3 linked regions of the Yarrowia lipolytica genome follow. The protein of the gene in region 2 interacts with the protein of the main gene of each other region in a pairwise test. Links are inferred from orthologs where the notes say so. Each region holds a gene or a part of one and is shown on either strand. Other genes may lie near its edges. The genes, in order: YALI1_E40327g, YALI1_D31274g and YALI1_B05711g.

Region 1 (10,400 bases), on a different chromosome or scaffold from region 2:
AAACGCCAGCGGTAGCATTCACCTACCACGAACCACTGAAACCTACGCCAAGAAACTAGCCGAGGATGGCCTTGGCACCATTGCCTTGGTCTCCTTCCAGGGCGAGTTTACCGGTGAGCGCCGATACCTCGAGAAGCCCTACAGCACTGTACTTGTTCGTTCGAACTGTCGAGATTAGGGCCATGTCGATTATCTTGTGAATCCTCTGTCGACGCTGAAAAGTTTGGTGCAAAGGATATCTGCGCCAGTGGGGATATCGCCATTGTTGCTAATATATATCCCCGAATCAATGCCATTGGTACCCAATGTACTGTTTCTACTGACAACATTGATCTGGGACAGCAAGATTAAAGACGCTGACTCTGCCTCTTACATATACTGACGCTCAAACTGTTCAAATCAAGAACGGCGACATTGATGGGCACCATTCTCTGGGTCCCAAGACGGAAGCCTCCCACAAGGAAGAGTGCGCTGCCTGGCGTTGCTACTGGAACAAGATCAAGGGTTCCAACAACATGGACATCTACGGCAAGGTTTTCGCCCTCAGGCCCCATGAGTTCTTCCAGAATCACATTTAATGATGTGAAAGTAGCTACCTGTCGCTAGTAATAATATATAGCTCATCTTACAAGTAGAGTTCTTAGACCCATCGCAGATAAGAACCTTACTACAGTATGTACATAGTGGATAGAGCCCAGAAGTACCGTAAAGGATACGTGTGTTCCTGTTGAGAGATTGCTACAAATCTTCACAACACACAATTCCTACAAGTACAACTAACTACTCTACAACCATACACACTACAAGTCTCAAATATAGGGGATGGGACTCGATGGTCCAATCGTATTAACCCCGGAGGTTCGGCTGAGTACCAGCGTACGTCCTCCTAATACTATCTAATGCGAGTTGAGTAGTTCCTATCCTACAACTATCTCTTCTGTGTTTCCGACAGGGCAACGGGCTCTTTGCTTTCCGGATTCGCGACTCCTCTGTATAAAAGCGGCACGGGCAGCGTCTCGATTCTCAATGATCTAACGGGCTCTGGCTCTTGGCTATATCAATTTTGGCGGCTCTGGTCTTCTGTATCGGACTCGGGCTCTTTTTCTCCCTCTGTACTTGTACGGTTCTGTAACTAATTGGGGCTCCCACGGGCACTCTCGGACTCGGCTTCTCAGGCTCATACACACACATGGCTCTCTCTCGCACGGACACTCGGGCTCTCGCAATGGGTCTTTGACTCAAAATATCTCTCTATAGCGGCTCTCGTTGCTGGTGGCTCTTATAATCACTTGATATGGCGTCTTTCTAGATCTTGGCTTCCTCTGACTGGCGGTCTCTCGACGACTTGGCTCCCTATGGCGGCACATTCATTTCCAAACGGCTCTCTGCTCGGTCATTGTTAAGCGGCACTCCCCTCTGTAAAAAGTTCCGGCTCCAGGGTTTAGCATAGCTGAACTTCCTCCCCCTTGGTAGTCGGTCGAGATCACAGGCTCGAAGACGCGTCGAGACACGGGCTCAAGGCATTCTCTCTCTGTCGGTCGGTGGCACTTCTGCTCTGGCTCACAGGGCTCAGGCATCATATCGCTCTTCGCTATGGTAAGGTCATTTTTTAGACACATTCCCTTAGGGGCTGCAACACAGCTCTTAACCGGTAAACTCCCAGAGCGCAGCTTCTTAGCGACTCCAGTTGGGCATGTTCCCAAAGCACTCTGCTGACCACACTCGGTCAGGTAGTATTACGTCAGGTACGGCGGCCAAGCTCGTTCCTGGAAAGGCCTTGACAGGAGCCTGGTGCTTTTCAGCGGGCTCAGCACTGTCACAGAAGGACCCGACAACCGGTACAGTTGCCAGTCTGGCGGCGGAGGGATCGACTTCTGAAGAAGAAAAAGAAGAAGAAGAAGACAGCAAGAGCGCGATTGGGCTTCCTTATATACTTTTGGGACGTGGCTAGTCAGTAGACCTGAAGCGACAAGTGGGGGGGACACACCCGCCCTGCCATGCACCTAATCAACATTAGAGTTGAGAATGACACGCCTACCTCTTTGTTTTCTGGTGTGGTATCATTATCAGTGGACACTCATGCAGGCAAGGGATAAGGACGCTGGCTGCAGTCGATCCAGAAGGCAAAGGTGGCAGATGAGGACGTTTGACACATACGAATTGAGCAAAATGACCATGGTGCTGTATTCTCTTCGAAATTACGAGCCGAATGAGTGGAGTCAACATTTTTTCAGGTCACGTGCTTAGAACTTGTCCCAACACAGCGAACAGGGTTAGGGGAGACTTCCGCAAAACCTGCACACTGCATCCTCCCAAGCCCTCGGGCCATTAGCCAATAGAATAAGGACAAAATCCTGACCAGTGGAAATACACTTTGAGTGTAGAAAAGATCGCAGAGTGCACCAACTACTTACACAACACAGCAACCATGGCTTCAATCACCTCCGTCGTGAAGACTAGCGAGCTTATCCTCAAGTCTCCTCTCCTCAGCAAGATTGTTGTTCCTCTTGCCAAGACCTATGTCAAGTTCTCCGGATACCGACAGCTTGGTTTCAAGTGAGTATCAAGGAAAACAACGCCCTCCAGCGACACACCCCAACGACAGTTGCGCAGCATCGACAGTACGAGTGAATGGGAAAGATTATGGACGATTTCGGCTTTTGCGACACCAGTTTCAAGGCGTTTCTGCGTTTCTACGACACGCGAAATGTGCCCTTAAACGCGACGACGTAAGAGATATTTCAGGGTCAAAACACCATTGATACGGAAGTGACACAGCGACACTGGAAGACCACAAAAACCGACTCAGAAAGGAATCCCCCGACGCTCAACTGTAGATATTGCTGGAATTGTTGATTGATGGGTGTGCATCAACTTGTGCGTGAGCAAATACTAACCCCAGGATGAACGATCTGATCATTGAGGAAACCCCCAACATGCAGCTCGCTCTCCGACGACTCCCTCCCACCGAGTCTTACGACCGAGTCTACCGACTCATCCGAGCCACTCAGTTCTCTCTGTCTCACAAGCTTGCCACTGGTAACGACATCACCAAGCCTGAGGAGGACGACCACTACCTCATTCCTTACATCCTCGACGTTGAGGCTGAGGCTTTTGAGAAGGATGCTCTTGACAACCTCGAGGTTGTTAAGCGAAAGTAGGCATAAAAGCTCTAACAATACATGATTATTAGGTACGAGAGGGTAGGTATGGATGTCAGTACTTGTAGTCCGTGTATTGTATCTGGCACATGTAGTGTTGAAGATTGTAAGGGGTTTAGAACACAGAACGATTGGTGCGTATTGAGAGTTCTGTTGGCATTGACGCATTAATCTCTCTAAAATTAATGCCCCCGTTTGTGCTGACCAAATTGCTGTCTTTAGGGTCACTGTTGCGTGGTTGATTACTTATTACAAATGGGACGATTTTCACGCACTGTCCGAATCACCGATCATAATATTGGTCAATTTGTGTGAACAAAACTTAAATTTGTTTTAACCAAATTTCCAAACTAAGGATCACACAATTTAATGGAGAAATGACTTAGGAATAGGTAACTCGTTTTAGTCAGAGGATAGGAAATACGCCAGTTCCACACAATCATATCCTACTCCAACTACTTGTACTAGCTTGTAAATCGTTCACTTATCATCTAATGAATGTTAGCAGGCTATATAATTAATACCGTGGGGGAGTAAATGCTTAGAGTGATGAGAAGCCGTCCTCCATCACCTTGAGAGCGTCTCCAAAAGAGGTAAGCAGCTTCTCCAGCTCCCGAGTGACATCGGCGTGAGGAGCAGGGTCCAGCAGCACCGACAGATCAATTTTGGGAATGGGAGGGAACTGCAGAGTGGATTGAACGGGCGGCTGGGTTTGGGCAGCCCGAGAAGGACGACGCGACGAAGGCTGAGACGGAACATTAAGACTGGGCGTGTAGTCTTCCTTGCGGGCAGGGGTCATGAATGCATCGGGCATGGGCGGGGCTTGTGCCGGAGGCATTTTGATCTGCAGGTTGACGTTTCGCAGTTTGGCGGGCTTCTCGGTGTTGAACGCAGGGGACTTTCCATTAACGTCTGAGCGAGGCATAACCACGTCAGGAACAGAAGCTGACCGGGTAGCCAGCTGGGGGTTCTCGGAACGAGGTATCAACGGAGGAGAAGCATGGCCGCCGTCTTCAGAAGACACAGACGACTTGTGGCTCATCACAGGCGAAGCTGCAGAGGGAGAAGCTGCTGCTGATGAGATGGACGACACCGACGAGATAGAGGGTCTGTGGAACTGCGGAGGAGGGCTGGAAGGCCGTTTCACGGGTGGAGGACTGCCCCGAATGGGAGAGGGCGTTCTCTTGGGGTAAACCTGATGAGGGGCAGCCAGAGATGCCCCAGAAGAAGGGTTGGCCGAATTGATAGCTGACTTCGCAGCTGCTACCGCGGCCAGCGACGCGGAGGAGTGATGCATTGGTGTCGGGGGCGGCGGAGCCTGTGCCATTAAAGGTGGGGGAGCCAATGGCTGTTGTGGAGGCTGCTGCTGTGGGAGAGGCGGCATCTGAGAGGGAGGAGGTTGTGTGTGAGGCACAGGAGGCATTGTCTGATGCAATTGGGGCATCAGCGGTGGCTGTGGATGCTGTATTTGATGAGGGGGCTGTTTTATCTGAGGAGGAAGTTGTTGCTGTAGCTGAGGCGGCTGCTGCACTTGAGGCAAACCTCCTAGACCGGGGTGAGTTGCCTGGCCTGAATGGGTGGTTTGATTGAGATTCTGACCTTGGCCTTGGGTCTGTGCGAAACTGTGTGAATGCTGAAGAGGAGGAGGTTGGGGATGATCTTTCTCGGGAGAAGCTCCCATCTTGGAACCCCGTCCAAGAGTCTTACGACGAGACATGGCCATGGGAGGTACCCCTGGAGGCTCGCCTTCCTCTCTTAGATCGTTGAGAGTTGGAGCCATAGACGCCATTTGAGTCTTTTGAGTGGGAACGGTAGGTAGAGACATTGAGGAAGACAGCTCGGGACGAGCAGGCATAGGAGCATGGGCAGGAGGGGCAGGAGGGGCAGGAGGGGCAGGAGGTTCGTTTTCGTCCACAAACAGCTCCAGAAGTGGATGTGGCTCCTCTTCTTCCTGAGGCACAGTCATCGTGTTAGTAGCTGTCGTAAGATCGTGTAGTTGGCCTTGTTGTAGTCCCTGCTGCTGCTCATATCTCTGTTCCAAGACCTCAGAGGCAGAGACAGTGCTCTGCAACAGGACTTGGGTACCCATCTCGCCAATATCTCTGTAGGCATGTGTGGGTTCTGGCCTGAAGTCCATCTGGCCATTATGAACCTCCACACGAGCATCATCAGGCGCAGTGGATGTGTCGAAGTCCCACCGAAAGTCGTCCGAATGGTCCACAATATCCTCTTCAGACCCAATGGAATGCCGGTTATATACAGCCATCGAATCACGTGACTTGTTGTGTTCCCTCCAGTGCATATATCTTGAAATGAGGTCTTTGATGGTCGATGTTGGGATACCCTTTGAGCCTCTGACAAACTTGGTTTTTGACAGCTCCTCTGCTGAGGGTCGTTCGTCAGGCAGTTCGTCCAGACATAGTGCGACAATTTCCTTGAGGGCCGCTGAGTACTGGGATCCTTCCAATCTTGCGGGTTTGTTTCTGGGGATCAGAAAAATGGCCCTCATTGCCTCCTGGTCGGACAGGGGAGGGGAGCCTGTTGCAATTTCATAGAGCGTGATACCAAGCGACCAAATATCTGCCTTGACGTTGTATGATGCTCCTTCTGTGATAACTTCCGGAGCCATCCAATAGGGTGTTCCCACAATAGTGGACCGTTTAGTCTTGGAGGAGACTAATTGCGCGGCCACTCCGAAATCACACAGCTGAACACGTCCCTGTTGGGTGATGAGAATGTTGGCGGCCTTGATGTCTCTGTGGATGATTCCAGCCTTGTGCATGTACTGGATAGCGATGAGCAGTTCACGTGTGATGACGCTGAGGTGTCGTTCTTCGATACGGCCTGCCTTCATGAGAGTGCGCACACTGCCTCCAGCACAGTACTCCATGATGATCCACAAACGCGAGCCGTGGAGATACGAGCCATGGTAGCGGGTGATGTTTTCTGCGTCGGCGAGCTTGAGCTGGCTCAGCAATTGAATCTCATGCTGGACCTCCTTGACGTCGTCCTCTGCCGTGTCTAGGTTGAGTACCTTGATAGCCACCAGCTGCTTGGTCTTTTTGTGGTAGCCCTTGTAGACCACGCCAAAGTTGCCGCGACCGATGACCTCCTGGCGCTGGTAGATGGACGTGACGGGCGTGGATGTCTGCATATCCCAGTGTTGAGGAGGAGACGTGGACAGCTCGATGTTCTGTAGTAGTCTGTAAAGCGAGTTTATCATCACGTGAGTTGGGTGTTGGGGCGTATCGTAGAGACACGTTTCTTACTCTTCCAGTCCGATATATAATGTCTATCTTTATACACTTATTTTAACATCTCAAATGTGCCCCATTTTTGTCGCTTTTGACCCTCGTTTTTCCCTCACTCATTATTTTCCACGCCCCATTTCTCTCCCCAGCCCCATGTCTCCCTCCTTAGTGGGCCAAACCTTGACATGCATGAACATCACCGAAGGTCAAACGAACAGCCTTTGGGAAAAAAACCGAGGTGGATACATCGAAAAATCTGACAACAAAAAATGTCCTTTGGACGCCTGTTCCGACAGTCACGCATACCGGCGATGCACACGTCGGAGAACGTGTCACCACATGCGCCAACCACACAACTGGTCGGATCAATGCGGGGCAAAGGGAAGAAGCTGGAGTATGGACTCAAGCACAGCCGGAACCCCAAACAGCCGAAAATGGTGTCTGTGGCCGGCCAGGATTGGTTAGGACTCGGCACCGACTATCGACCCCAGGACATGGGCTTTGCACGCGCCCAGGAGCAGTTTTCCACCGCCGGAATCGCCCTGGAAGGACCTCCCTTAATACAAACTGCATCACAGTCCAACCTCAGTTACGCCTTCATCAAGTGGTGCAACGACCGAGGCGTCAAGCGCAGCGCTCTGGACGGCGAGTATCTCATCCAGCTTGCCAAAGAGTACGCTGCAACACAAAAATTCGGTCCGTGGGACTCAATATCCACGAAACCCGTGGCTGGACCGTCCTACTTCCCCAAGGGATCGCTACACACATCTCGTAACGGAGTCATGGCAAATCCCATGTTACCAGCACGTATTGTGGATGATCAGCGCACAAAAGCTGCTTGCATCGGCGTTGTGGCTACCTGTGAAGTGAACGACTCGTCTATCAAACACCACAGAGACAAGATTGTGATGATGGAGGTCCAGGGGGCCAAGCTGGACAATGACAAGTTGATTATGAAGCTGCAATCGACGACGAAAAAGGCGAGTGCCAACGTGTGGAAGGACTATACGGGATCTCAAAAGCTGCAAAGAATGCACGCGGATAGTAACAAACATTCGCAGCACAGAAAGTACGAAAAGCTGTTTGATTTGCTGCAGTGAACCAAACAGCACAGACGAATGAGGGAATGTATATATGTATATAGAAATTGCATGGTTGTTATATCGACGGTAATAATATTGAAAATCGTACTCGTAGTGTTCACGTTCAGTTCACGGTGAGCTTAAAACTATCTTCAAGAAGAGATTTGAGACCTGATTTATACTTGCAGCAATGTTTACTTCTTATCGCGATACACGAATGTGATACGGATCAAAGTAAGCAGGACTACGATAAGATAACGAATGCGGTGCAGTCCATGTCGATTAGGTATAGATACATTTATTTTGTGTTATGTTACATTTTGGGGGGATACTGTCCTACTTGTAGTACCTACTTGTAGTACTGTAGAGGGCTTATCTAAGAACACCCTTTGTGGAAGGAACCTCGTCTCCGAATGTGATGGAGGATGCCATACGCAGAGCCAGCGCAGTGGCCTTGAATGCAGACTCGATTCTGTGATGGTCGTTGGCACCTCGGATGACGTCGACGTGGATGGTGATGGCAGCGGAGTGAGCAAAAGACTCAAAGATGTGGGGGACCATCTCACAAGACAGCTGGCCCACTCGCTCTCGCTTGAGACCAAGCTCAGTCACACAGTATGCTCGGTTGGACAGATCCACAACGCATCGCGATAGTGCCTCGTCAAGAGGGGCATATGCGTATCCGTATCGTTTGATGCCTCGCAGGTGGCCCAGAGCCTCCTTGAAGCAGCCTCCAAGTGCGATAGCGGTGTCCTCCACGGTGTGATGGTCGTCAACATGGACGTCTCCGATGCACTCGACTAGCAGAGACCAGCCGGAGTGCTTGGCCAGAGCGTGCAGCATGTGGTCGAAGAAGGCGACGCCGGTCCACACGGAAATGTGCTGGGTATCGGTCTTCTGGTAGGCGTGAGAAACATCAGCTCCCTCGGGGAGCATGGTGGGGCCTGGCAGCTCGAGAGCTCCTCCATCTATGCTTATGGCGATCTGGATTTTGGTCTCCTTGGTCTCTCGTCGGATGCTGGCGATTCGTCGGGTCATTTTGTGTGTGTTTGTGCGACTGGTCGTGTAGTGAGTATCACAGGTAGAAAGTAATTTTCAGTGGGGCTGACAATCGATGACTCTTATCAACATTTAGCTTTGCTAGCAAACGGTCGGGTCTAGAATGTGCTGGATGGAAGAGTGAAAGGGAGGTGTGGCCGGCATCATTACACGGAGCCAGCTGCTTTTTTGTCATATAAATACCCCTATAACTCCCACATTATGTGCCTCCCTCTTCCTCTCTGACTCACAGAGCTTCTTGCTCTTTCTCTATCTACTCCAAGGTTAGTGAGTCAGGATTGTGTCTGGCTTAGGATATATAATTCCAGCCCAAAAGATAGCCTTTCGGCACTCTGGTTTCCGGCGGCTCTCCAAAATGGCGGTGGAAAAAAATATTGTGAGGAAAACATAACAGGTATTCTCACGCATTCTGATTGGCTGAATAAAGGAAAACAACAAAACGCACCAGCCAATGGAAACACATAAAGAGATAAATTTTCCACACTAAAGCAGGACCCTACTCGTAGACCAACGCCCCCACTTACAGGACGCATCTTTAGACCCGAACCCCCAACGTTCATTCCTCCGTTGCTGGACGAATTGGGTCTGCAGGTAAATAATGTCTAATGGCAGTTGAATTCCGATTACTAACTTACTGCAGCGTGGTACAAGTGCAGATAATCACGCCGAAGGTTCTTGTGTTTAGTATTTCCCGGTATAATGTCTATAAATCAATAATGGCCTTGCTCTACAAAGGCCGAGTCAGGCTGCTCTCAAAGACGGGCCTTGTTGTCAATCCAGTGCTTGACAACGGTCTTACCTTCATAGAAGGACGGGTCTGGATGACGCACAATGGCACCAGCATGGGCCTGTTTGGTGGCACGGATGTGGATGGCGGTCTTATCCCACTTGAGCTTACTGAGGTTCTCAATGATGGTCTTTTGGCTGTCCGATAGCACCAACTTGGTCTTGGTCAGATCCAACGTGTCCCCCTCCGTGGTCTTGTACTCCATGGCAGTGAACATGGAGTCCATCGTCTTGTCCACCTGATCCTCCAAGGCCGTACGGAACGCACCTTCCTCCAGGGAATGTGATCTGTGGTGTCCGTGCGACTGAGAAGAAGAAGAAGAAGAAGACTCGGATGACTTGTCGCCAGGAGAGTGCACCTTGCCGTTGAAGAGAGCTCCAACAAAGTCATCAGAAGTATTGTTCTTCCAGTACTCGCCCTTGGCGTATTGCACTCGACGCCGGTTGGAAATGATGCCGTAGAAGATGGCAGACGCAATCCAGGTGACGGCGTACATGGGCATGGTGACGGCAATGTTGTAGAGGACCTTTGCCCATCGGAACCGGCGTTCCAGCCATCCGGGAGGCTGTTTGATTGCCTCTGGCGGAGGAGCTAGGAGGTTGGAGGTGTCCGACTGTTGCAGCTTGATGTTGTTGAGACGCGAGGTATCGACAATGATCTCATTGGTGCCTTCCACTGTAGGCAGAGTAACAGACTCCATGTTGACACCCTTAAAGGGGTCGAAATCGTAGATTCCTGCAGTGTACCACGCCGTTCGCGAGTCATTGACCACGTTGGCGTACAGGTTTCTGTGCTGGAAGGCTGCGAGTCCCTTGGAGAAGGACGATTCGGCGTAGGACATGATTTCCAGCAAGGGCATGGGCTTGGAGAATTGTTCTCGGTTGGAGTCGGTCATTGCGGTTTCTCGTACTCGCACTCGGTCCTCCAGGAACAATTGCTTACCTGTCTTGCCCATGAGCGATCCTGCGAGGGAGTTGAAGGCGCTGGCCAGTCTGCTTTCTCCAAGCACTCGAACACCAACATGAGGTGTGCAAAAGGTGGTGAAAGAAGCAGGAGGAAT
Region 2 (10,462 bases):
ACAGCGGGTGGTTCGGTCGCTGTCTCCGACCTTGAAGAGCGCCAAAACCAGCAGCTGGTGGATCTTGACCGGGTAATTCACGTCGCCGAGAATCACGTCCACCAGGGTGTGAAAGTAGCAGTGGTTCTGCACGGGGTCTTCGTGGTCCTGGAAACAATGGGCCACGGCCTCGTCGGTGATGGCGGTCTGGTCAGAGTTATTCACAAGCAGGTTTCGCAGTGCCAATGTGCCGATTCTCTTCATCTGTTCACCGGGCGACGAGAGAATGGCGTCGATCCATTTCATCAGCCCGGTGATGTTGAAGGCCAGAACCGCTCGGGTCTCGCCGTTGCTCTCCACCGCTTGAACCGCCGGTCCCGAACAAAGCACAGCCATGCACGAGAGCGCCGCCAGCTCGAGTTTGCGTCGCTCCAGCTCCATGGAAGCAACAATCATAGACTGGTCTTTGCTCTCCCGGGTCCGGCCCAAAACCACCCTCCTCATTTGCATTTCTCGGTCCTTGGACAAGGCCCAGTGCTGGCCATGTCCACACCACTCTTCAATAACGGTGAAACACGAAATGCGGCCCTCAAACGGCAGCCATCTGGCGGGGTTCGGGGTCTTGATGATGCCCAGATAGACGGTTTCCAGAAACCCGCAGAAATACCGCCTCAGACGCTGATAGTCCCATTCCACCTGGACCTCGGGTAGCGACAAAAACGCCTTCATGTCCTTGATGTACGACGACAGAAATTCAAGAATCCACTCGTCCTTGAGAATCTCATCGTTTTGGATGAAATGCGCCGTCAGCCTCAGAATTCGAGTCACCTCGATAATCAGCGTGTCCGGATTACTCACCTCGGAACTGGTTCGCCGATGGTGGCTCATCTGACGCAAACGTCGTCGCTCTTCCTTCCAGTTTCCCACACAGGCTTGCAGGCACTCCAAAAGCGACGCGTAGATGTTCACGTTGATACAGGAGAGCCCGGCGATGATCGAGTCACGAATCAACGGGTGGTCCACGGTCATGAGGGGGATTACCATTCGGAAAACGGACTTGGCAGACGTAATCTTTTGTTGTGACGCTGGAATCCGGGGCACTGATCTCTTGCGGTTGTGAGAAGCAGAAGTAGGCACTCCCGCCTGGTCATTGGTCTTGTCGTCGGTCAACGTCAACGTGCAGCAGGCCACGATGAGGTAGATCTGCCACTGCTCAATGAGCATTTCCGCCTGGTTTCGCATTGGGTGTCGCAGACTGAAGGAATGGGGTCCCGCCGTCTGCTGCTCGGCAAACGAGACCACGGCGTCGTGCATCTGCACTAGGCGCAGGCAGACAATGTTTCTGAACAGCGCCACGGGCATGGGATAGGCCACAAAGCATTGCTGCATGAAGCAGGGGAAGACCTTGAGCCAGATGGACGTGTCGACTCCGTAGTCCGAGTCGGACAGTTGGGCCAGCGATGCCTTGTTTTTGCTGGTCAGCTTGCTGAGCCGGGTCTTTTCAGGGGTGTTGAGCTCAATCGCCGGGTTGGCTTGGCTGAGAAGGTCGTTGCCGGAGGTGGAGTCTAGCAGCGAAATGACACGTGATCCAGACACACCCGACAACACCTCGTCAAACGACACGGTCAGCCGCAGAATCTTGAGGGCCAAATGGCGCACATTGCGGTTCTGAGAACACAGGAAAAACAGCCCGTTGCTCTCTACCTCTTCCACCACGGCCCAGACCGAGTTGAAGTCCACCGAGTCGTCGTTCTTGGACTTGATGGTGTCGAGCCACAGCTCCAACAGAGTCACGTACAGCTTGAGCAGAGACTCGAACCGGTCCGTGGCGGTAGCCGGGAATTCGGTGCTGCAGAAATTTTGCTGTTCGAAAGAAAACATAAACTTGGCAAACACCTCAATGACTGATTTGCCTTCCTTTCCGGCAACGACAAATTTTTTAAGGGCGTTGCTGGCCGCCTGGCTCACCGGCGCCACCGACAAAGTGTTTCGGCAAAGCATTTCCAGCAGCTTTGAAAACTTTAGGTTGGACGGGGGACACCACGGAATGCACTCAATGGTGTAACAGAGCAGGTCCAGAAACGCCCCGCGATTGAGAGTGGTGCTGTCGTTGGCGCCAAAATGGAACGAAACTGCAATCGGCGTCTTAGCACTGGGCAATTGGTAGCTTCTCTTGACTTCTTCGTCCTTGTTAGTGGAGAAATACGTGTCGCACAGATAAAACAGCTTACCGAGAATTTGAGAAAAGGTGTCATGAAATTCCTCCAGCAGCTTGGTCTTCTGGCGGTGGAAGGGGCCCTCGACATAGGAATGCGACCGTACAACCTCGTTGAGAGCATCGTCGGTCAAAAACGTCGGCTTCTGGTCCTGCTCATAGTCATGCAACATGTACATGTACGCCTTCATGCCAATAATAAGTCGCTCGGGAGACAGGCTCTCTAGCCCCACACTGGCCGATCCCTCCAGCAACTGGGTATGCATGAGCTGGTACAAAATCTGGTCAATGGTGTAGGAGGGGTTGGAGAAGCCCATGAACCGCAAAACCTGGATTGTGGGGTGTAGTATCGACGGGTCTAGCGACGCCCATCCCTTTTTGGACCCCGCAGGGAACATTTGTCGTGTGATTCCCTCCAGACGTTTGGTTGTATGGTTCAACGACTCGGAGCATCGGAAAACATAGACCCACAATAATCTTGCTAGACAAACGGCCATATGGCCTCGCGACTGCTTCTCCTTGAACCGTGATATGATGACATCGAGTAGTGCTGACCAATTCTGCGCAAAGTATTCCTGAGGAGACACAGTCAAAAGAGTCGTTGCCGCCACAATGGCCGGGCCTCCAGAGCCTTGCTTGGACGTTTTTGGAATGCTGGCAATGACTCTGGGGTAGATTTCGGAAATGGCCTGCACCCACACCGGATGGTTAAGTTCCACAGTACCCACAGACACCACCGGCAACAAGAGCTTGTTGAAAACGTCCATGTATGCGTATTTAATTCTGGGCAGATGAGAGCGCAGGAAAAACTGTCCCAGAGACTGCAGAAAGTCCGCAGACTCGTCCAGCTGGTCCATGGGGTATATTTTCAGTTGCAAATGGCACATTCCTTGAATCACGAGCTCCAGCTGGGTCTCTTTCTCCTTGGAGGTTGGCTCGCCGGCCCGACCCAGATCGCCGAGGAAACGGTCCGTAACCGAAACAAAGTTGGTGTTGCTCATCTGGCCCAAAAGCTGCGCAAACAGGTTCCAGTTGGCGTGGCGCACGTGGCTGGTAGCCAGCACCGCCGGGTCCGTCGTTCGCAGCTGTTTGAAGACAATTTCCTCCAGCTTATCACGCAGATCCTCACCCAACGAGTCCGTGTCTGTCTGTTTGACCACCTCAATTAAAACTCGGCAGAGAATGTAGATACTGATGAGCGACTTTTTGTCTGCGACCAGAGCTGCCTCTCTGGCGCTGCTGGCGTGCTCCTGGAGCTGGGCACTGCCAAATCCGCCGCTGCCCATGTCGCTGGCACGCGAGTTTTGTCGAGAATGGCCGGTCACGGCAGATGCGGAGGCCGCGGCAGTATGAGCGGCGGCGGCCGAGTTGACGGCAACCTCGGACTTGGACTTGCGCCAGAACATGACGCTGTCGATCACCGGTTTCGGCTCCCGGCGTGCAATGTAGCCGAGAGAGACGATGATCTTATCGAATGCGGGGTCCGCGCCCTCGCCGAGAATGTCGGTGATGTTGGGGTCGGAGTCGGGGGTGGAGATGCAGAGGTTGAGTTTGCGTTCTGCGTAACGGACAAACTGGGTTAGCGAAGTAGAGAGGAGTCAGACCGTGACGTAGCCACGTACACAATTGATCAGAGCCTGACGAGGCACAAAACAAGTCATGAGTGGATCTGGAGAACAGCGAACAGCACGTGAACGTGTTCTTGCATTCTCAGAGCCTGACCAGAGTGTTGACCATGATTTTAACCATTACTTAGTCATGTGAACGACTGTATCTCGGGCTCCTTGTGACCAGACGAATCTGTAGAACATGACTTTGGTCTTGACGTAGCTTAGCGACGAGTCACATAACCTGAGATGGCCCTACCAGCAGACTTTGGAGGTGCATCGTGATATCTGCGAGATTCACTCACGCCTCTACCAGAGTCCAAAGGCGCCAAAGAGCGCCAAAAGGACACGACAGTCGTAGACCTCTACAGTGTGTCGGACTGCGCCATCTCGAGAAAAGCATGGCCATTACTGAAGGGTCACGTGTCAGCAGAGACATCTCAGTGGAACAGTAGTATCGATTCGACTCCTGACTGTCCCCATTTTACTGTTCTTTGTCGCTCGTGTGGTTGCTTCTGAGTATCAGCTCATTCATAGCACAGGTCATTCATTGCCAGCTCATTGGGTCCACTCGGACCTTTAACCGTACTTGGGCGTTTCCATACTCACCTGTGTAAACAAAATATGCAAGGCATATTCACTCGGCGTTTTCGAGTCGTCTTTCTTCTCCTTCTTTTCCTCCACAGGTCGGTCCACACGTACCGGTGGAGTGTCCAGTGACGTGGGAATGGCTATTTGGGCCGGCGACGAAAGGTCTGGGATTGTGATTTCGTTCTGGGTTAGCAGTGTGTGGAAGTGGTGGTGCGGTGGTCGGTGGAGCGGTAGTGCGGAGATTTTTTAAAGAGACCGTGACCCGCCAGACAAATAGTCTGACAAGTAGCGCGGAAAGTAGTCTGACAAGTAGCAATAGCAAACAATCTCACGTCAGTGATGGTTGCACAGGTGACATGACGCAGATGAGACTAGAATGGGCTGCCACTGAAATGCCCCGACTATGACTACGACAGAGTTGATGTGAATGAGACCACGTCATCCCGCGTTCTTCAAGTGCCGTAATCTATCTATCACTGTCTCGATGAAGATATGTCAATTGCTCGATCTGAGTGACACCAGGACTGGGACTGCATCGGTGGAACTTGGTGGGGCCGCAAGACGTCAGAAACACGCTGGATACAACCTCCAAATAACCTCTGACACTAACAATGTCGCAAAACGCCCTCTGAAAGAATCTCGCAACCCAAATTGGCCACAGTGGCCTCAATCTAGTCTCACCCCAACTGGTGTGACCAGCAATGCTAACGGGATGGTGAGGAGAAGGAGATCACAATCAGTCGTGTGATTTGACGGTTGGCCACGTGACCCAACCGCTGGTCACGTGACTCAACCCCTGCCCGCATCCCCCAAACAAACATCTGAATATCTCATTCCACCCCATACCCTCCCTACCCCCACCGCTGAATCAGCCAGACTGGTGCTCTTGCCGCCCCCAGCCTCTCCCCAGAGTAGACCACGTGACCAGTAGGCACCCACGTGACCCAGACGTGCCCATGTGACCTCCACATGACCTCATAATCTCTCTCCCCCCTCTCCTGCTCTACTCACCATCCCAATATCGCTTCGTCGTGGTGTAATTAGCTGGCCAAGTCTGCAGGAGTCGCCAGTTATGCGAGGAGGTGAATGTGGTGGGAGAACTTTATTTTGGCGCGAAAAAAATCCACCAGGCGTTGTAGCCGGGCCCGAACTGGAGCGCTAAAAGAAGAGCGGCATCGGGCTGGTCTCGGTCACGTGATCACAAGGATGTCTGTTGTTATTTTGTATTTTTTTTCTCGGTTTTTTTTATTTTTCTCGGATTTTGTTGTTTTTCCTGTCCAAATCGCCGATTCTCCTTCTCCCAAACATCATGAACCCCTCCTTAATATCGTTGTACAAGTATCGTATATAATGCGCAAAATGGAACGTGGAGCCTCAAAAAAATGCCACAGAGAGAAGAAAAGAATATAGAGCGGATAAAACATCCATTCTATTTATTTATTTCATACTAACAAAATACAATATGGCTTTCTAAGTGTTTTTCTATAACAACTTCTTTTTAGTTAAAAGCTTTAGTTGAAAATAGTTGAAAACTAAATCCTGCTGGGGGTTCATTTTGAACGTTGCTGAGATGTCGCCGAAATGAAAAGTGTATGGATCAGTAAGTAATGAGTAAGTTTATAACTACTAAATCGTCGTCTGAATATATTGTCATACAAAATTCCAATTTAACACCTCTTTCATCCGGATGACTAACTACTTTTAGTTGACGTTTTACTCGACATTTCTTCATAGTTTATTTAAACTTATTATCCCTAAATCGACCCCTCAATATTCACTACAGTACAAGTACTGTACCGTAGTTGAACAGTACACTCGTACCTACTCTACAGGCTTGTTGGAGTCACGTGACCAGTATCTAGGAGGATATAATATACAACCGTAGCCCAGGTGGATTTGTCTGCTCAAACAATTGACATCAGATTCCTGGGAGAGGGTCGATGTCACGTGATACGTATAGAGGGTGAGTAGTTGGTTGGTGCTATCTCTTTTCGTTGCGTTGCTATCTATGTTTGACATTTTTTGACATTTTTTGGTCATATTGATGTTTTGCTTTTGCTTTTTCTTTTTTAAAAAAATTAAAAAATTAAAAAAATAAAAAAAAAAAAACATTTTTCATTTTTTCATTTTTTCTCTTTTCTCAACCACATTACATGAAACGGAGAAATATACAGGCAAAAGGAAACAAAAAGATGGCGACATCCGCAGGATTCGAACCTACGCGGGGAAACCCCAAGAGATTTCTAATCTCTCGCCTTAACCGCTCGGCCAGGATGCCATGTGTAGACTGGGTAAGTTGATGAGCTAGTTCAAGAGGTGTGATTAGTAATCAGCGACAAGATCAACGGATTACTGGTTGGCGAGAACAAGGACGGCAAGCGCACCTTCAACGACGAGCTCATCTATCAGCCTCTCAGAGCAGGAGGCATTGGCCTTTTGAACATTGTTGAGCAAGCAAAGAGTCTCCGTGCCACGCGAGCGGCTCGCTTCTTCAGGGATGATACTGCTGCAAGACAAAACGCTATGTTTCTCTTTGCTAGTGAGACAGTAGACTTGGGCTACGGGCTCCAATCCCACTCTGCTACGAGAATGAGCAAGATTAGGTGGTTCGAGACGGGAAACTGGCACTAGCGCCATTTCCTATCTGACTCCATGGACCGATGTCTGCGAGGACTTGCAAGGCTGTCTCTTATAGCTGTACTGGCGGAGTCTCCAGCCGACTTGCGCCCTAGGGCGCAGTGGTCAAGTGAGAGGACGAAAGTTGACCTGTTCGAACGCCAGCGTCGTGAAAACCCGATCGCAACCATGTCTCGGGAGCAAGTTGCATATCTCGAGTCGCAAATCGATGTCCCTGTCAAGGTGGCAAAGGATAGCTGGCGAGATCGTTTCAAGGTCATGAAGAACAAGCACTGGTTGGAGACACTGCCATCTGAGCTTGATCCGAACCACCTACTCTGGCTTAAGACAAATCAGTTCCTGAGCAAGCACTACCGACGAGATGATAAGAGCGCTGCTACGCTACACATGTTGCGGCTGAGCCGCCTCCCCTTCACCCGGTGGTACCCCAAATCAAGATCTGTCCAGTACAGAGACATTGGATGTAGTTCTAGTCAACTCTTCAAACAGAAGAACTACCTCCACGAGCACCTTTTTGTCAATTGTCCAGCGTCCAAGGCCATCTGCCAGAAGATTGGTGTCCCCCTTCCATCAAAGATGGCGGACTGGATCTTACTGGAAGCCAAGGACGGCCCGCTGAATTACATTAGAGAGCTCGCCCATGCTTTGTGGCAGTTCGAGCGAGCTATGCGAAAAACTGGCCGAGTGGGTACTGACCCCGTGGTCCAGCGAGACTTCGCTCACTTGTTCACCCGAGCTTCTGCAGCATATCGTCGCGACATGGTGATCGTGGCTATGAGGCGGAAGCGCGGAGAGGAATGAGCGCCGAAGTTGTTTTCTACTCTAGGGGCACTATTACGATGGCTGGTACACATGACGTCCTCGTGAGGTCTGCTCACGCTAAATATACACGCTCTGATTGATGGAATTATAAAGAAAGAAAAAAATCAATAAAAAAAAATAGTTGAAGATCAGAACGATCGAATAAAAAGACCCGAGGGGATATTAATGATATATATTATCTGCTGGAATTTCAACCAAATTGATTGAAGCATTTTTGAGTGATGCAGAGTATCACTAATATCTTCAATACTACAACTACCAGAACAAACTGCCCTACCCATTCAGGAACAATTTGATAGCACTTTTCCGGGACGAACGAAGGGAATATTGGACATTTACTAAGATACAAACAATTATCTTGAATTTCAAAAGTACATATTTACCGGGACCTCAACAGAGATCTCCTCTAGACCACCAAGGACGTTTGTTTTTTTTGTTTTTTTTGAATGTTCAGAGAATGAGCCTACTTCCGCCGCCATTGTTGGGTGTCAATAAGGAGACTGGCGAGCAAACCGTGCTCATTTTAGATATTGGAGGAGAATCTTTTGATGTTTCTCTTCTATCTATTGAACCACTTTGTGAAGGAGATCAAGCGAATGCACCACGACATCTCCACCTAAAAAGAGCTTGGAATCGAGGGTAGATGGGGAAATATTTGGGATTCCAGTTTATGTCGCGAGACTGAAGGTTGCTTCTTCTGTTTGTTTGTATGTTTGTTTGTTTGTTTGTTGTGTTTTTTTTTTTTTTTTTGGTGGTTTTTCAAAAACATCTCAATTCCTCCGGTATACGACTCTGATTCTTCCTGTACAGTTTGGTCTATTGTACGAGTACAATTGCATGTTCGGAAAAGAAGACGAATTGGAGGTTGTGAAACAAATATTGAAAGGGGGAATTTGGTCTCATCTGTTTGAGAAGAGATAGGTTGAATATGATCATTATTGAGCGAGATACAAGTACTTGTAGATGCTAGTGTAGAGTGCTGACAAAGTTGAACAGAAAGTGACGAATCGAGGCGATTCAAGACATTATTGGCGGTATTATGTATGAAAAGACCTGTTTTCTGATGATTAAATGGTCGTTTTGGCGTTGAATTCGTCACATTGTCACAATTGAACCTTTATATCAAGAGTTGTGAATAGTTGAAAAATGACGAGAGGGTCTATCACGAAAGTTTAGATCTGTCAATTTCTTTTTAGCGAGACGTTTATGGAGTGTGGCACGAAAGAGTGGGCATTTGGGTGGCTGTGGGAGACTAGCTGGATTTTTCGAAGGACAAAAATTGCTTGTGAGCCACAGATAAGCAGATTATAGCTGAAATTCTGGGGATCGGATCTATACTGGGAGAGTTAGAGCCAGATGTAATAAGTCAACTAATGAGGGACGTATTTACTTAGAATTTGGGGAAATACTAAATAGAAACATTTGAGAGTGGTAATAAGAAAATATAGATTGGTTTATATGGGAGAATTAAAAAGTAGAATTTCATACTTTTTTTTCTAATTGAGAATCGAAGGAGTTGACAACGATATGTACAGACTTGATGTCTTCCTGACTAAAAAAACTATTTAATTAATTTAATAGATACGAGAATTAAAATACAATATCCAATAGCTACAATACCAGTCTCTGACACTACATTACCACCATCCACCATAATCACAAACAATAAATTACTTTCTCAAAAAGTGACCATCATGGTCGCCCGACCTTACTCATCATCATCATTGAACATGGACACATCTTCTTCATCATCGACAATATCCAGGTCCGAATCATCCGAATCGACGTACACAGACTTCTTGGGGGCGGCGGCACGTCGAGGTCGAGCCGACGACGCTCTAGACGACGCTCTAGACGACGCGGAAGACGCCACCTCGGCCACCTCATCGTCTGACAAATTCATGTCTTCATCCGAGTCGTCAAAAATGGACTTCTTCTTGGGGGCAGTCTTCTTGGGAGCGGCCTTAGGAGCAGCTCTGGGAGCAGCCTTCTTGGGGGCGGCCTTCTTGACCGGTTTGGCCACATCCTGCACCTCCTCAATGGACCCTCCCATGTCCAAATCGTCATCATCGTCAGACAGCGATCCAAACAGCGACACCCGCTTCTTCTTGGGTATCTCAAACTCAGAATCGAGCTTGCCGGATCCAAATTGAAGCCTGCCACCGGCAGCTCCCAGACGGTTGATCTTGGTGGGAGAAGACTTGACGGGAGAGTCGCCAAAGATGGAAGTGGAACCAAGTGAGCCAAACGTATTCTTGAACTTGGGAGAGGTGGCGGTGTCGGACAAACGGGGCTTGGTCTTGGAAATTCCTGGCTCCTTCTTGACCTTGACATCATCCAAATCCACCACCTCGGGCTCAACCGACGCTGAAGACGACTTGGCACGTGACTTGGCCGCTGCCGTCTTGGGCTTAGCAGCAGTCTTGGCCTTCTTGCCAACAATAAAATCCTCATCGTCGTCATCTCCAGCCTTCTTCTTGGCTGCCCGCTTCCGCTTCGTGGCGCCCTTCTTACCAGTATAGTTGTCCAGCTTCTGCTGCTTCTCCACGTCCTGCTCCTCAAACTTCTCATAAGCCTCCATGAACACGTCCAGGTCGTCCATCCAGATGTC
Region 3 (9,438 bases), on a different chromosome or scaffold from region 2:
TCAGGGCGACATGGACCACATGGACGTGACCGAAGACCTGCTGACGGAAAGAGAAGCCCAGTCGCAAGACGCCCCGCCACACGATACCCAAACGGCGCCACCGACCCCGGCGGTCGCGGACGCGGTGCTTTCAACCTCCACCTCGGCCCTGCCGTCGCCCCCACTGCGAAAGTCGGCGCTGCTGGACTCGGCCAACTGGTCCATTCTGACCCACTCCCCCCCAGTCATTGGCATAGACACAAAAACACTCGTGGATGCCATTGACTTCCATTACTCCACACGACTCCCCCGGGTGGATAAAATGTTCCCCTGGCTCCACGGCCTGCACCCCAGCAACGTGAACCAGCGCACCTTCCTGCACCCCAACCGTCGCGTCAACAAGGAGTTCACCACCGAGTTCATCCCCAACAACTCGTCGTTCCCAGTGTCGCAGGCGCCGGGAGCCTCCACCCCGCTGCCCTCCCACAAGGACATCCCGTCCGAAGTGCGCGGACTCATCATCGTCAAGGCCAACAGACGGCAGGTCGCCGCAAACACCCCCGTGCAGTACAACGGGTTTGGCCACGCCATGAAGGGCGAAACCCTCAGAGAGGCCCGCCACTCGGGCTCCATCATCGGCACCATCTTCCTGGAGGACTTTTTGGAGGGCGACGCGGAAAAGGAAGACTTCCAGGACAAGTTCAAGTTTCTGGACGCGCCCGAGGGCATCTCGCTGCGAAAGTTCCAGATCCAGGTCGCCAAGTGGGCTGTCATCTCCGACATTGTGCTGTACGACTCGGCCGAGGGTCTCACCCCGCGGCTACTCAGGCTCGCCGAAATCGTGTCTGGCGCTCAGCGACGGTTTGCCGCTGAGAATGAAAAGCTCCACCAGGTCTACCGCACCTTTGTGTTCACGGACTCCATCACCCAGCTGGAGCAGGAGGCCCCCCACACTGTCACCATGTCGCACAATCTCTCCCCCGACGAGATTGACGAGCAACGGCTCAAGAACTGGGATGCCAACCTTCTATTCCATGAGCGGGTCGAGATCTCTATGATGTCTACCGCCACTCCTATCGCCTGCGACGTGTGGCTGGGAAACACAACCGACTTTGATGCGTACACAGCATCTCTGTCTGCAGCCAAGCAGGCCAAGCAGGTCAATAAGCATCACGGCGACATTGATGCGGCCGCAGTCAAGGCCCCCGCCAACTGGGTGACCATTATTGACTGCCAGGAAAATGCCCGACTAGTTCCCCTGGCTGTGTTAGACCAGTACATTCGGGAGGCTGAGGCATGCATTGTCGACCCCTCCCGACGACTCTCGCCTCTCCAGCTAGGCTTCCCCTCTTCGGGATCAATTCCCATCCAAGCCCTGACCCCCGAAAACGTCTATTCCATCATTAACGTGTGCAAACTCATCTATTTGCGATCTAAATGCACATATGGAGGCAAGCCTGCCGCATCTCTAGTCTTTTGCAATGATGGATATACTGAGACGTCGCTTCTGGCGCTCATTTTTCTCATGTACTCCACCGGATGCCGTGCCCCTCAAGCGTGGGTTGATTTGCATGTACAGTACAAGCGGCCGTTCTTCTGCTTCCCCATTGATGTGACTGTGGCGTCTGCTCTTCAGACTGCTTTGCACAAGTACTCGCCTGCTCTAAACGAGAAGCTCTCTTCTGGAGCAGAGTACACTGGCATGCCCCCCAACCTTATGTTCCTATCGGACGATGAGGATAACGGCTCTGTGCGACATGAAGACTCGTGGTTCAACCACTTTGACGGCTCCGTGCCCTCTCGAATCCTGCCGCATTTGTACCTCGGCTCCTTGGATCATGCTTCCAACCACGGTTTGATTCAGAAGCTTGGAATCAAGCGGATCCTGTCTGTTGGAGAGCCTGTGCCTTGGGCTATGGCCGAGGATGCTGATGAAGACGAGGAGATTGACCTGGAGGAGGAGGCTCGCAAGGTGGCCCATGATCCAGATCTTGTTAAGCTGGTGCGACAGACTCAGGAGCGTCGAGAGGCCCGAAAGCATCTCTCTCGCGTGCTGTACGTGTCCAACATCCAGGACGATGGCATTGACGAGATCACCGACTCGCTAGCGCAGTGCCTGGACTTTTTGGACGAGGGATACCGGCTGGGTGAAATGACGCTGGTGCATTGCCGAGTGGGAGTTTCTCGGTCGGCTACGGTTTGCATTGCGGAGGTCATGAAGCGGCTTGGCGTGGGGCTTCCGCGAGCGTACCTGTTTGTGCGTGTGCGGCGGCTCAACGTCATCATCCAGCCCAACCTGCGGCTCATGTACGAGCTTGTCAAGTGGGAGGAGCGTCATCGGGATCAAGGTGAGGGCTGGTTGCGAGAGGTTGACTGGCACATTCTCTGTCGTGAGATTGCCAACATGAACCGGGTTTATATTCCCGAGTAAGGACGGTCGAGGACGCGGATCGTCTCGAGTAATGGGTAGAAAAGAGAGACCCGGATTTGTTATGGGTTTTATTAGTTTGTTTTGAATTATTTATAGGGATTTGGCGTTAATACACAGAGAATAATGGTATAGATGGGCGTATTTTGTAGACACTCTTCCTAGTCAACTACTTTCCAACTAAACTCCAACCACATTAGATGACCATAGCTCACAGGACTGGGACGGATATAGTGCATGTGAGCCACACGATGGTCGTTCATGGACATTGTATGATTGTCAACCAACTCAGAAGTCTTCACACATGTGATGATCTCCGCTACCTTCAAATTTGCACTTTCAACAGAGGTGCTTCAGATTATCACCTCCCAAGAATATATACTTAGAATACCGTACAAGTGAGACATGAACATAACTCACACAGTCGAAACTTCAGCAGTTTTGTACCACAATGATAGCACCAACTCCAACTATACAATGGTGCAAATCTTTCGGCAGTATCTTGTCCAGAACCCCCACATTATACCCTGCTAAGTGTCATGTTCTTACACTGTACCCCCTTTGTTCAGTTAATGGACGTCTGTCCTCTTCTATGTATTATATCAGGTAAAGTACATACAAATACATGATTGTCTGGCACACAGATCTTGGTGGCAAGATCTCGGCGTGTCATATGCCTCATACTGTGGCGCGCTCGGCACCTGTCCTTCTCAGGAACCCCAACGAGCCTGTACAACAGAACGTTGCTCGCATCGTCCTATACGCATCCATTCTGTCCGCAGTTCTCTAGCCGACTTAGATAGCATTCCGCCTGGTCATGTTGTCAAACCGAGAGAAAGTGTATCCAATGAAGGGCAGATCACTGGATCGATCGCTTCGAGAGCTCTGCTGAGGGTACTCGGACACATCACCAAGCTCATCGGTGGGGAAGTAACTGGTGTCAGTGATACTGCTCAACTTGGGCACGAAAGGCGCGTTGAACTCCCGGATAGACGACCAGTCGACGCCTCGGAAAAAGGGATGCGATTTGATCTCGTTGGCGCCGCCGATTCGACCCAGACGGTTCTCGGACGAAGTCAACAGCCGCCTGATGAGATCCTCAGATTCAGGAGAAAGATGCACATCATCGGGGAATTGCAACGTCTCTCGCCAGTTGATGATTTTGTGGTAAGTCTCTCGGGGCTGCTCGGAGCAGAACGGAGGCCATCCAACCAGGCACTCAAACATGATGGCTCCCAGAGACCACCAATCGCACTCCTGGCCGTAGCCCTGATGCACAAAGATCTCCGGTGCAATGTAGTCTGGCGTTCCCACGGTGGAGTAAGCCATGAGACGTCGGTTCTTTCTCCACGTGGAAATCTGCTGTCGCATCGTCAGGTGGATGGAATCGTAAGTCGACTGTCGGTTCGTGTTTTGAGGGGGACCCATCTGTGTGGCTGGGTTGGAGGAAGTGCCGTCCTTGAGCTTCTTCCAATAGGCCGACGAGTGGGTCTTGTGGAAGCCTGTGGAGAGACCGAAATCGGACAGCTTGATGTGGCCCGTCTTGTCGATCAGAATGTTGTCGGGCTTAATGTCTCTGTGGATGAAGCCTAGCTTGTGGATCGCTTCGATGGCCAGCACGCACTCGGCAATGTAGAAACGGGTAATGTCTTCGCTGAAAACGTCGTACTTGATGAGCATGGTCATGAGATCGCCACCGGGAAGGAACTCCATGATCAGGTAGAGGTACAGGTCGTCCTGAAACGAAAAGTACAGCGAGACGATCCAGGGGGAGTCTGAGTCCGCCAGCACGTCTCGCTCGGCCTTGACGTGCGCCCATTGCTCCTTCATGTCCATTTCCTTCTTTAGCATGGTCTTCATGGCGTAGATTTTGCCATTGTCTCGCTTCTGAACCAGCCGCACTTCTCCGAACGCTCCCTTTCCAATCACCTTGACGGTGACAAAGTCTTCCAGCGCCATTCTTGTTCGTCGCATACGCAGATACGCCGTTTCTTTCTTGCCGTAGTTTGTGAGCACCCGGTTGCGTCGTTCTTCCGACGTGGCCTGCTCGACGGAGGCCTCGGCGGCGGATCTTCGCTGGTGGCGCTCGATAGCATGCTGCACAATGCCCTTGTAGTAGGTGCTGATGACCTGGGTGGTGTTGTGGGCTCGGTCTCGGGCCGTCTTGGACAGCAGATCCGGCCGGGGTGTGAAGTTGACGTAGTCACTAGGCTGCTGTTGAGCCACAGACTGTTGCTGTGGTTGTTGTTGCTGCTGTTGATGCTGTTGATGCTGTTGCTGTTGCTGTTGTTGTTGCTGTTGCTGTTGCTGTTGCTGTTGCTGTTGCTGTTGCTGTTGCTGTTGATGCTGTTGCTGCTGCTGTTGGTACTGGCTGTGCTGTTGCTGCTGGTACTGCTGCTGGCTGTTGTACTGTTGCTGGTTGAACTGCTGCTGCTGATCCAGAGACGTGTTGGACTGGTTGGAGTTCTGCTGATACAGCCCCGACGGAGGCGGCATGAGGTTGTGAGGCTGCTGCGACCCGTACATGGGCTGGCCCTGGCCAGGAACCCACTTGTCTGTCATCTTGCTTGCTTGTGTGGAGAGCGGTGTGGGTGTAGTTGTAGCTAGTGTGGTGTCTGTCTGGGTCCAACTATCCGAGTGTCTCTCTGTGTGTCTGTGTGTGTGTAAAAGGGGCTGGGTTAGGTGACGTGGAATTATGCAGGAGAAAAGGTTAACGTGTGTGAATGTAGAGGAACACCAGACGGGTGGAGAGGGGAGCTGAAGGGTGCGAATATATAGACGGTGACGGGTTTTGTGTCACACGCCACACGCAGGACTGTCTCTTTTTCTTTTTCTTTTTGCCCCCGAATTCGGACCACAACAACACGTATTATTGCAACATTAAAAGTCAGTTCGTGACAGACAGATGAGGCACACCAAAAATAATGTGAAATAGTTAATCGCAAAAGGGCGGTCTGATTGGAGGTGGATTTGGGTCGGGAACGCGACAAAAATAGTGATTTTTGTACACATGGGTGTCTCTTCCTGGTTGTATATTTTTTCTTCAATTTTCCCCAACCTTTTTCTCCACTTTTATCCGATTTTACACTGATTATTCCCCCCACCATACGTGAGCCTATTTGTGGGTAATTAATATTATTTTCGCTCTGTTTTAAAGAAAAAAAGCAACTTGAGGCCAAAAATACGGCTACAACTATCAGTTCAAAAATAGTACAAAATACAAAAATATTAAACCGGAAAAATCAACGCCCCCATTGGTCGATAACTATCCCTATCTGTGATCTCAACGACTTTCATTGTCAATATTTGCATCGGTTGATTTTGCAACCTGCCCCGGGTGTTTTTTAAATATTATTTTCCTATTTTGAATCTTTTTTTACTGTTTTTCTTTTTCCTTTTTCTTTTTTTAGTATTTTTCTTTTTTTTTCTGTTTTTCTTTTTACGTGACTTTTTTACGTAGCCTAATAGTGTTGATCTACGCGTACAGCAGAACGACATGCTCGGGATGAACATGAGACACAGACATGGTGGAGAAGATCTGAAACATCTAGGAAGATCAGAAAAGTGTGTGTATTACTATGGATTTATTTCCCATCCTCTAGGAGCAATATTCGCCAAGCTAGAGTGATTTACATCTCTGGTGACTACTCAAAGCGCGTAAAACCGCCCCGAGCGAAGAGAAAAATCACACAATAAGTCAACCAGACGTTCTGAATCGGAAGATGTAGATAATTTGATGTGACCAGATGGTTGGTAGTGTCACCGCTGTCCTCCTACGTTGCATGTTCGTTCTCCTTGATAATCACGGAGTAGACAAGACCTGGTAAGAGATATCTCAACTATTCTTATACCATTGTCATCGGACAGACCAGGGCTTTCCAATGGTACCATAGTTTCGCTCAAACATCCTCTCTTCGCGTCGTTCTGCTCGTAACCTCATGCGCTCTCCCCTGCTCCTACAATAGAACCCTCCCTCCCCCTCAACATGTCAATATCATAAATCATATTGTCCTGGCTCTTGTTCGACGCCTCCATAGCCCATGTCCTTCCCTATAAATACTAACTGGCCTTGTCAATCTCCTCGAGTCGAGCCAGAACGACCTTTTTGCTGGTTTCTTCGAGCTCGCCGGCCAGAAACACCTCGTCGAGGATCGCATACACCTTGTAGAAGTTGAAGACAAGATCCAGCTCGCAAACGTTGCCGAAAAACGTGTCCAGCACCTCCACAAACAGATGGATGGCCTCCAGGTAGAAGAGCTCATTGTCGGATTCGTCGACCACAATGCAAAAGAAAAGTCCCGCGTACCGGCGGTAGATGACCTTGTAGTTGCCCAGCTCCACAAAATTGCTCTGGTATCGCTGATCTCGGGCGGCCACCAGCCGATGCACCTCTCCCATCAATTTGATTTTTTCCGTGTCCTGGGTTAGTCCATGCGGACAAACGATATATGGCTGTGTTCGTCTGGATCTTGCCGTTCGAATGGTGGTGCTTCCATCTTGATCGCAGCACTCCTCGCCGAGTTGGTCAAGATGAAGAAACCTGGGAGCCCCATCATGTACTCACCGAATACGCATTGTACCACTTGGCAAGTCGCGTTTTGCCCTGTCGGTTCTGTACCAAAATGTACTGTAACACCATTATGACGGCTTTGTGTCGCGAAATGTCGTGTCACCGCTGGTCGAAAGAAATGTATGGCTTTCGTGACTTGCAGAGTGGTACAGCGGCGTCTGCATGAGGTAATTACAGGGGTGCTTAGTCAGCGGAGGGGTGGGACAGGCGTGTGAATGAGGCGGGTCGATGAGGTCACGTGACGGTGTCTCGGGAGGGTAAATTGGGTGGTGATTGTGTGTTTTGGTTGGTTATGGCATGTTTTGGTGTTAGTTGGTCGACTCTTGTAGCACTTGATATGGGTGTATATGATGGATTGGGGAAGCTGCTTGAAGTGGAATGCATTGACGAGGAAGAAGAATGCTGGAGCCCCAAACTGTCGAATCAGGAACCGATTCGGAGATTCAAAAGTCAACTATCAACCTTCTTCGGTCCTTCGACCTCTCCATCTTCAGCTATTGTGGTCTTTTTGGGTGCTACACTCAGTATATAAGCACTTGCATATCTAGAGTCAATAAGATGGGGGAATTCAGAAGGAGACAGGAAAGAGCTGTGGGGTGATTTTTTTTAATAGAGACTGATGGCTGTTATTGCAATTTGGGTCAATTTCGCCTTTTAGGGATCCGATGCGACGTTCCTAGGGCTGGATATGGACGATTTTGCCTATCAGAAAAGAGCAAATAAAACAAAATGAAATGAAATAAAATAAAATAAAATAAAATGAAATAAAATAACATAAAATAACATAAACCAAAAACTTCCCCCAAAACTTCCCCCAAAAAACCCCCAAAATGAAAAAACCGCATGGCTGCGGACAAAAAAGATACCACCACAGACGAAGGAAAACATACACGGCCAAAACGCCACCACGTTTATATTAGAATATGTTCGCTGCGAATTCAATGGCGTGGCTATTTTTCCAACCAGTGTGACTGGAGCCCGAGTTGGAGACCCGTTTCGTAGGGTTCAGGTCGTTCACACGCCCAACAGCTGAAGATACGGATACCTGGCGTTGTTTTAAGTGAAAAGCGACGATATTTCCATGGACTGGAGTTGTCCAAAGCGACAGCTTCATTTTGTATATCTACAAGTAGTCGATTTGGCCATTGTACTGTTCTCAAAGTGCGCTCAACAACCGCGGCTAGTGTCTGTCGGCAAAGTTGCACCCCTTAAAACGCTGGGAATTAATTGTGTTAAATCCAACTTTGTTTGGGGTTGGCTCGGGGATTTTCTGCGTTGTAATTGCCAGAAAATGGCGATAATTCCAGAGAATGGGAATGGGGGTTTTGGACAACGACAGCTGCGACAATCGTGTTGGAAGTGTCGAAAAACGTGCTGGAATCACTGAGAATATTAACTGTTAATTTTAGAGCCCCATGGAACCACAAGACGGGCACCACTGAGTCGATGGAGGGACGGAGAAAGAAATGAAAGAAAAAAAAAGAAAAAAAAAAAGAAAGAAAAAAGAATAAAAAAAAAGAAAGAAAAAAGAAAAAAAAAGAAAGAAAAAAGAAAGAAAAGAAAAGAACTAACCTTCCCGTAATAACTGTAGCCTTCCATTAACAGATGAACTCGCCTTAATTTCAAACCAGCGACAAGAACGACACACCTCATTCGAGCCGGTAGAACAACAGACGAGGCCGTTGGAGAATTTGTTGCTCCGGAGGAGCTGGCCAGGAACTGCTGAGGGGACTGGACGCCCGAGCCACCGACCAATGGTCAAGAACTGGATCCACAGTGGTGGAAGCCTGCCGCGTCCTACGTGTCCTACTTCTCTTCCCACAAGGACCGCCTCACTCTCGTCCGCGTACAGTAGAGCATCAACGAGTGGAGCTGACAGACTATATCTGAGCGTAAGCAACTGGTTCTTCCTGATCAGATTTTGGTTCTCCCCCCACTTGTGGTCATGCTGGTGCCCAACTGCGGAATGAGAGGAGCCCTAGAACTGCTTGAACGAACCCAGCTCCTAGAACCACTCTTCAGCACCTGAGGATAGATTCGACAGTCGCCGCCAACTCCGGACTAAGACAAATCATCTAATTCTCAGTCTGGAGTACATTTGTTGAGCCCACAGACAGGTCTTCTGTTCGAAGCCATGTGAGAGCGCTTGGCGAGACTGTGGACATCTGTCGACATTTAACCAACTGGAGAGAATACCTCTGGACCTGAATCCCAAAAACAGGATGTATGCCGACAGGGAATGTTCCAGCGCAGCTGGAGACAAGCTGTACTACTGGAGAACTCCGTCAACCAGGAATACCCATGTAGTACAAGCCAGTTGAAATGGAAACGGTTGAAGAACAGAATGACGTAGTGATAGACCAAAGGAGTTCCGTAAACGCCTTGACAAAGACACCAAGCTGTGCTGGAGAGTAAAAGCTGTTTTGGACAATAAAACAAACTGTCTACTCCATCGCATCTT

What was found.
Region 1: the proteins of YALI1_D31274g (region 2) and YALI1_E40327g interact in a two-hybrid assay, tested with the Schizosaccharomyces pombe proteins (2 studies listed by BioGRID). The link is inferred for Yarrowia lipolytica from reciprocal best matches to the Schizosaccharomyces pombe genes mor2 and nak1.
Region 3: the proteins of YALI1_D31274g (region 2) and YALI1_B05711g interact in a two-hybrid assay, tested with the Schizosaccharomyces pombe proteins (2 studies listed by BioGRID). The link is inferred for Yarrowia lipolytica from reciprocal best matches to the Schizosaccharomyces pombe genes mor2 and orb6.

What each region holds. Positions count from the first base shown.
Region 1 is NC_090774.1:4,028,673-4,039,072, reverse strand, and holds YALI1_E40327g (uncharacterized protein), read right to left. Parts: upstream 6,385-10,400; coding exon 3,703-6,384; downstream 1-3,702. Other genes in the region: YALI1_E40361g (uncharacterized protein), read left to right, coding at 2,429-2,556, 2,903-3,161; YALI1_E40324g (uncharacterized protein), read left to right, coding at 6,682-7,512; YALI1_E40305g (uncharacterized protein), read right to left, coding at 7,867-8,532; YALI1_E40282g (uncharacterized protein), read right to left, coding at 9,306-10,400.
Region 2 is NC_090773.1:3,122,325-3,132,786, reverse strand, and holds the start of YALI1_D31274g (uncharacterized protein), read right to left. Parts: upstream 5,407-10,462; coding exon 5,404-5,406; intron 4,576-5,403; coding exon 4,411-4,575; intron 3,769-4,410; coding exon 1-3,768. Other genes in the region: YALI1_D31258g (uncharacterized protein), read left to right, coding at 7,045-7,830; YALI1_D31186g (uncharacterized protein), read right to left, coding at 9,560-10,462. UniProt on the Schizosaccharomyces pombe protein: Required for the maintenance of cell polarity. Has a role in localizing F-actin at the cell tips.
Region 3 is NC_090771.1:566,681-576,118, reverse strand, and holds YALI1_B05711g (uncharacterized protein), read right to left. Parts: upstream 4,970-9,438; coding exon 3,203-4,969; downstream 1-3,202. Other genes in the region: YALI1_B05762g (uncharacterized protein), read left to right, coding at 1-2,410; YALI1_B05730g (uncharacterized protein), read left to right, coding at 2,442-2,488, 3,020-3,197; YALI1_B05698g (uncharacterized protein), read left to right, coding at 6,154-6,191, 6,238-6,463; YALI1_B05690g (uncharacterized protein), read right to left, coding at 6,467-6,826, 6,972-7,046. UniProt on the Schizosaccharomyces pombe protein: Interacts with pak1/shk1 and coordinates cell morphogenesis with the cell cycle. It is essential for maintenance of cell polarity and is involved in mitotic control.